2 linked regions of the Neurospora crassa OR74A genome follow. The protein of the gene in region 1 purifies or fractionates together with the protein of each later gene. This does not show direct contact. Links are inferred from orthologs where the notes say so. Each region holds a gene or a part of one and is shown in the gene's direction. Other genes may lie near its edges.

Evidence for each region. Proteins that work in one complex are often made in the same cells at the same time.
Region 2: the proteins of NCU06854 (region 1) and aro-1 purify together in Saccharomyces cerevisiae (affinity purification with mass spectrometry; 3 studies listed by BioGRID). This does not show direct contact. The link is inferred for Neurospora crassa OR74A from reciprocal best matches to the Saccharomyces cerevisiae genes RVB2 and ARO1.

What each region holds. Positions count from the first base shown.
Region 1 is NC_026502.1:1,746,394-1,750,145, reverse strand, and holds NCU06854 (RuvB-like helicase 2), read left to right. Parts: upstream 1-1,331; 5' UTR 1,332-1,560; coding exon 1,561-1,569; intron 1,570-1,645; coding exon 1,646-1,872; intron 1,873-1,947; coding exon 1,948-3,157; 3' UTR 3,158-3,545; downstream 3,546-3,752. Other genes in the region: NCU06855 (hypothetical protein), read right to left, coding at 3,546-3,752. UniProt on the Saccharomyces cerevisiae protein: DNA helicase which participates in several chromatin remodeling complexes, including the SWR1 and the INO80 complexes.
Region 2 is NC_026502.1:2,891,049-2,894,800, forward strand, and holds the start of aro-1 (pentafunctional AROM polypeptide), read left to right. Parts: upstream 1-1,356; 5' UTR 1,357-1,658; coding exon 1,659-3,752. UniProt on the Saccharomyces cerevisiae protein: The AROM polypeptide catalyzes 5 consecutive enzymatic reactions in prechorismate polyaromatic amino acid biosynthesis.

The sequences.
Region 1 (3,752 bases):
CAGTGAGACGAGACGCTGCAATCAAGCGTGCGCCTAACAGACAATATGTGGCGAGGTATAAGACGAGAGTGTAATTGTGACAATGGTGGGGCTGACCTGTGCCAGCGGTACAGACCGACGTCAGTCAATGTCGGAATTGAGCCTGAAATGTGTGTCGATGTTCAATATTGTAGGTTGAAGATTGTAATGCGATACCGATGCGGGTAGACGCGTAGATAGAGTCAAAGTTTTAAGAGGCCCCGCACCTCCTCCAGACGGGAATGAGATCAGACTAGGGCTTGCCGCACAAAGATACAACAAGCTGATGTATTTTTCTGTTCCTTGTCTAAATGGACAGTCGAACTAATAGTTCTGAATGCATTCCGGAACGCCAGGTTTACAATCGTCGAAGATGTCCTAGGGAGAAGAGAGAGGGGAAAAAAAAAAAGAGGAAAGTGTCTGCCATTTGGGTGGGGAAATTGGTTTAAATATTTCTGGGGAACTACTATGAATGAGCCCAAGGTAGCAGAGTTGCAGATTTGCAGCTCTTCCACTCCCAGGTCACAAAACTTCTCCTGTACACTCAAGGAAGGCGCTACGGACCCTTGTCATTCTGTCCCTTCAATGGCCAGTCATAGTATGTAGGTATGACTGGCCGAACGTCACATTTATCTTATTGATATCTTCAAGTTGTATTACTATTTCCTTCAGCTCTTTCATTCTCGCTCCAATCAAACATCCACTGCATTGGTACCCTATGTCCCTCTACACTTAGCCTGGGTTGAGGAGGATGACAGCATGCCTCACATATAGTCTCCTGACCCAAGAATCCCCTGAGGGCCGCTTCTAGCTTCAGGTCCCAGTGAGTAGCGTACCTACCTACACTACTTACTTGCGTCCATGTTTATTTTGCATGTTTGCATCTTCTTCCCTTTTGCATCCGAGTCACGAACCCCTGCCAACACTGTTGCCTTTTCAAAGAACTTCCATCTGTATATAAACAGGTCGTCCGACTTGCTTAGTTCTCTTTCCAAATTGACTGCTGGACAAAGAGGCTTTGTGTTGTGATGATCAGCTCAATCAATCGAATTCCGATGTGGGTCTAAAATCCGGGGCCTTGTGGGACCCCCAGGGCCGCGCCCGGGAAGGTTCAGTCCCACCCGCCGGCACAAGTCCGAGGACTGTCTTCAGTTCCTTCAAGTCTCCGCCCTTCTCTGTCACCGTTTGGATCCTCAGCCACAGTGGCGTGTAAGTCGACGTATTGTTACGTAAACTCGGTAACAAACCACTCGCTGGAGGCCCCGGCCTGTCTACCCATGCACGCAATTGGAGAAGTCGCTGCAAAGTTCCATCACAGCGCGCGGCGACGCGCACTGCAGCTTTGAACTTCCGTCGTCGTACTTCTCGCTCTTTTTCAAGCACATTCCATCATTCACTGCCAAACCATCCCTGCATCCACCTGCAAACTAATCCATCACCACCCACCCACCGTGATACCCAAATCCAAGCGACCTTTCTTGGAAAATTCTGTAACGTCAATCGGCATATTCAATATTAATATCTTGCAAATCAGTGGGCAATATGGCTGCTGTAAGCTCCCCACCTACCCCCCAACATCACAATACCTTGACGGAACACCAGCTGACCTCTTGTGCCCATGCCATAGCAGGTCGTTACCGTCGGAGAGAGTAAGGACCTCCGGGGTCTCAACCTCATCGCAGCGCACTCGCACATCCGCGGGTTGGGCGTCGATGCCGATACACTCGAGCCCAGGGTTGCCTCCCAAGGCCTTGTCGGCCAGGAGAAGGCGCGTAAGGCGGCTGCTGTCGTTCTTGAGATGATTAAGCAAGGGAAAATTGCCGGCCGTGCTGTGCTGATCGCCGGTCCGCCCAGGTTAGCTCGTCTTGCTGTGCCAGTCCTCATGCGCATACCGTTTCGTGTACTGACCTAGCTATGGAAAAACAACAGTACGGGAAAGACTGCTCTGGCCATGGGTATGGCCCAGTCCCTCGGCACCGACGTCCCTTTCACCACCCTTGCCGCTTCCGAAATCTACTCTCTAGAGATGTCCAAGACCGAGGCCCTCACCCAAGCATTCCGCAAGTCGATTGGTGTCAGGATCAAGGAAGAGAGTGAGATCATGGAGGGTGAGGTGGTGGAGATTCAGATCGACCGGAGCGTTACCGGCCACGCCAAGCAGGGCAAGCTTACGATCAAGACGACCGACATGGAAGCTATTTACGACATGGGCAGCAAGATGATCGATGCTATGACCAAGGAGCGCGTCATGGCCGGCGACATTATCTCGATAGACAAGTCATCTGGAAAGATTACCAAGCTGGGCCGATCGTACGCAAGGTCGCGCGACTACGATGCCATGGGCGTCGACACCAAGTTCCTGCAATGCCCCGATGGCGAGCTACAGAAGCGCAAGGAGGTCGTCCACACAGTAACGCTGCACGAGATCGACGTCATCAACTCGAGGACCCAAGGCTTCCTCGCCCTCTTCTCGGGCGACACGGGCGAGATCCGCAGCGAGATCCGCGACCAGATCAACACCAAGGTGGCCGAGTGGAAGGAAGAAGGCAAGGCCGAGATTGTGCCCGGTGTTCTGTTCATCGACGAGGTGCACATGCTCGACATCGAGTGCTTCTCGTACATCAACCGCGCACTCGAGTCCGACCTGGCCCCCATCGTCATCATGGCCAGCAACCGGGGCCACTCCAAGATCCGCGGCACCGACTACAAGAGCCCCCACGGCCTGCCGCTCGACTTCCTCGACCGCATTTCCATCATCAACACGCACTCGTACACGCCCGACGAGCTCAGACAGATTCTCACGATTCGCGCTCAGGAGGAGGAAGTCGACCTTACCCCCGACGCGCTCGCCCTGCTCACCAAGATCGGCGCCGAGGCCGGCCTCCGGTATGCGAGCAACCTCATCACGACGTCGCAGCTAATCTGCGCCAAGAGGAAGGCCAAGCAGGTCGGCGTTGAGGACGTCCAGCGCAGCTTCAAGCTGTTCTACGATCCTGCCAGGAGCGTCAAGTTCGTGCAGGAATCGGAGAAGAGGCTCATCGGCAGTGATGGCGTGGTCGATTTCCGTGTCAATGGCGGTGCTACGGGAGAGCCAGCGGCTACTGCGGCTGGTGGTGATAGCATGGATACCAGCAGCTAAACAGTCATGGGACAATGCGCTACAAGGATTAATGAATAATCTTGGGGTTATGATTTTGTTTCGTCTAGGCGTTTAATTGGGATGGCTCATCAAAAAGGCGTCTTTGTTATGATAACACTGTTTTCTTAAGCTTTATGTGTGCCTAGTCGTGGTTTTTTGTCATGTTACTGATTATGGTGATGGCATGGAGTCTGCAAATATCCGTTTGTATCATACAACGAATCGAATCAAAGTCGAAGCGTGGGGTAGCAGGAAAGGGCATAGTAGGGACGAATGACGACCAGCTGCTGAGGAGTTCCCAGCATGGTGATAAGGCTTTTGATTCTCTCGTCGCTTGGAACCGGGGGTATACTATCACACACAATCGTACAAAACCTAACCATGATGATCATACGAAGGCTGCAACCCTAGACCACTCCCCCTCCCCTCCGCCCACCGGCCTGAACTCAACCGCCTCCTTGAAGTATCCCGCATCCTGCCATGCCTTCATGGTGGGCCCGTCATACGGCCCTTGGCTTCCTCCTCCGTCTCTCCCATCTGTCCACCTAAACTCCCACATTTTGGGTTGTCCGTTTAGTGACGATGGCTGCTCTTC
Region 2 (3,752 bases), about 1.1 Mb from region 1:
TGTATTTTCATCATATAGCCACCTACCACCGGCTTCTTGGAGGGAGTCCTAGTGTTCGGTCATTGAGGCAAGAAAAAAATACCGAGTCATTGAGTTAGACCTTGTCTGCAAGCCCCCGATGCTCCCCGAAGAAGGACAGAAGGTGGCTTCGAACTTGTTCACAAGCTGGATGAGCCGATGGCGTTGATGCTACATCATCTCAAGGGAATCAGTGTCTAGGCCAACGGGCGTGGTGGTTTTTACAATCGGGAGATAGCCGGTTTAGCCATTTCTGTCTATGGTCAATGCAGTGGTGAATGGCGTTAGAGACGAGGCCCGATACATACATTCATGGGTTACCAACCAATCAAGAGACGCGAGTAGAGATGAGCTTTGTTTAGCTACCTCTAGCCTGCGGCTCTACTTGTGAACTTTGATGGGAGCTCCACGTAGGGTGTGATCGCGCGTTCCTCGTTCACGGATACTCGTTGGGTTGTTATGAGCCGTTTGCAAGAGCTGTCCAGACTCGCGAGCCAGTACGCGTTCAAGCATGACGGATGGTGTGTGGTCACGAATGGCGAGTGGTCAGGACAAGGGTTCGCGATCAGAAAGGACATAATGAGCGTGCCGTATCATTCATAGGGCTGAAGGCAGCATCGCGGGGAAATGCAAATCAGCGGAACGGCGCGAGATCGCGCAATAGGATGGGGGTGGTGGGAGCTTGTTCACTTGGAGGAAAGGTATGGGATGAAGCTACAGCCGGGCAATACCCAATGTTTTACTTCCCGTGATTCGTCTTCATATCGTGACATCCTTAGCGATGAGTGGCGCCGAGCATGGCGTGTCAATAGTTCTGACGTTGCAAAGCGCAAACAAAGGTGAGGGGTTAGGTAGACACAGAAAAGCGAAAAAAGTATGTTCGACGACTAAACTGGCCAAACTGGTATCCTCGTCGGCGGAGAAAACCGCTACTCAGATCCAAGAGGAACCAAAGATCGTGCACAAGTAGAACTAATCACTTGTAAGCAGTGAGGTAGTCAAGGCAGTGGTTTTGTTGTGAGACTTGAAGTTGTGGAAGGGACGGGAAGAATAAAGGAGGGGCATCATCCGCGAATCTGTGGGGAGTAAAGGGTCCGAGTGTGAGAAGTACCGAAAGGGTTTTCTGTATCTTATTGGCATCCTCTGTCCGCAAACTATGGCCGAGATTGGCGGACAGTAAGACCTCGGCTACTCAACTTTGGTGTTAGGGTTGAGTTAAGGTACGCCAATAAGGTACTTATAAGTCCCGGCCCCGGTACTTGACGACATCCTCCACTCCGCTTTCGGAAGCGGGAAGGAGCCTCAAGGGATCCGCTCAATTTTTTGGATGATGCTTGTCTGGAGAACTGAGTCACGGCGAACCAGCACAGCACAGCACAGCTTCTCTCTCTGCCGTGTTGTCTTTTTCCCCTCACCACCAAAGACAAAGCTCCTGTATGCGGGAGGCGTGTTGATACATCCTTTACACACACATCCCATCTCCCACTCTCAAACACCCAGTGATTGCCCCACCGTCCCGCAAGGTGGCCGCCATACACCTTGGCTTTATGCGGCTCTCAATCTAACCACCTCCTAATCAATCTGCACCGCCGTCCGCAGTCACTGCAGTCGCTGCCGTCACGGTCCAGAAGCCCTTCGTCATGGCTGAGCCCATCTCTAATCCTACCCGGATCAACATCCTGGGCAAGGACAACATCATCATTGACCACGGCATCTGGCTGAACTTTGTCGCCCAGGACCTCCTCCAGAACATCAAGTCCTCCACCTACATCCTCATCACCGACACGAACCTCTACAAGACCTACGTGCCCCCTTTCCAGTCCGTTTTCGAGAAGGCTGCTCCCCAAGATGTCCGCCTTCTTACCTATGCCATCCCTCCCGGCGAGTACTCCAAGGGCCGCGACACCAAGGCCGAGATCGAGGACTGGATGCTCTCGCACCAATGCACTCGCGACACCGTCATCATTGCCCTCGGTGGCGGCGTCATTGGCGACATGATCGGCTACGTCGCCGCTACCTTCATGCGCGGCGTCCGCTTCGTCCAGTGCCCGACCACCCTCCTCGCCATGGTCGACTCCTCCATCGGCGGCAAGACTGCCATTGACGTGCCCATGGGCAAGAACCTGATTGGCGCCTTCTGGCAGCCCGAGCGCATCTACATCGACCTCACCTTCCTCAACACACTGCCCGTGCGCGAGTTCATCAACGGCATGGCCGAGGTCATCAAGACCGCCGCCATTTGGGACGAGAACGAGTTCACCGCCCTCGAAGAGAACGCAAAGGCCATCCTCGAGGCCGTCCGCTCCAAGAACAAGTCGGCCGACCGTCTGGCCCCCATCCGCGACATCCTCAAGCGCATCGTTCTCGGTTCGGCCCGCGTCAAGGCCGAGGTTGTCTCGTCGGACGAGAGAGAAGGCGGACTCCGCAACTTGCTCAACTTTGGACACTCCATTGGTCATGCTTATGAGGCGATCCTGACTCCTCAGGTCCTCCACGGCGAAGCGGTTGCCATTGGCATGGTCAAGGAAGCTGAGCTTGCCCGCTTCCTCGGCGTCCTCCGCCCCAGCGCCGTCGCTCGTCTTTCCAAGTGCATTGCCAGCTACGACCTGCCTACCTCTCTGCAGGACAAGCGCATCGTCAAGCTTACTGCCGGAAAGGAGTGCCCAGTTGATGTGCTTCTCCAGAAGATGGCCGTTGACAAGAAGAACGAGGGCCGCAAGAAGAAGATTGTCCTACTTTCCGCCATCGGAAAGACCTATGAGCCCAAGGCCAGCGTCGTCGAGGACCGCGCCATTCGCATTGTTCTCTCGCCTTGCATCAGGGTCTTTGCTGGTGTACCCAAGGATCTCAACGTCAGCGTCACTCCCCCTGGATCCAAGAGTATCTCCAACCGTGCCCTTATTCTGGCTGCTCTCGGTGAGGGTACCACCCGCATTCATAACTTGCTCCATTCCGACGACACCCAGGTCATGCTCAACGCCGTCGCGCAGCTCCAGGGTGCCTCCTTCTCTTGGGAAGAGGGCGATGTGCTCGTCGTCAAGGGCAACGGTGGCAAGTTGCAGGCTACCTCGACCCCTCTGTATCTGGGCAATGCGGGAACCGCTTCTCGGTTCTTGACCTCCGTGGCGGCTCTTTGCAACCCTTCCGACGTCAACTCTACTGTTTTGACTGGCAATGCCCGCATGAAGCAGAGACCCATCGGTGCTCTCGTTGATGCCCTGCGTGCCAACGGCGTCGGTGTCAAGTACCTTGAGAAGGAACACAGTTTGCCCGTGCAAGTTGATGCTGCTGGCGGCCTTGCCGGCGGTGTTATGGAGCTTGCTGCCACCATCTCGTCCCAGTACGTCTCCTCGCTCTTGATGGCCGCCCCCTACGCCCGCGAGCCCGTCACCCTTCGCCTGGTTGGCGGTAAGCCCATCTCTCAGCCCTACATCGACATGACCATCGCTATGATGGCTTCGTTTGGTGTGCAAGTTCAGCGATCTGCTGAGGATCCCAACACCTACTATATCCCCCAGGGCACCTACAAGAACCCCGAGACCTATGTCGTCGAGAGCGATGCCAGCTCTGCCACCTACCCTCTCGCCATTGCCGCCATCACTGGCACTACCTGCACCGTCCCCAACATTGGCTCCAAGTCGCTCCAGGGTGATGCTCGCTTCGCCATTGAGGTTCTCCGTCCCATGGGCTGCACCGTCGAGCAGACTGACGTCTCTACCACCGTGACTGGCCCT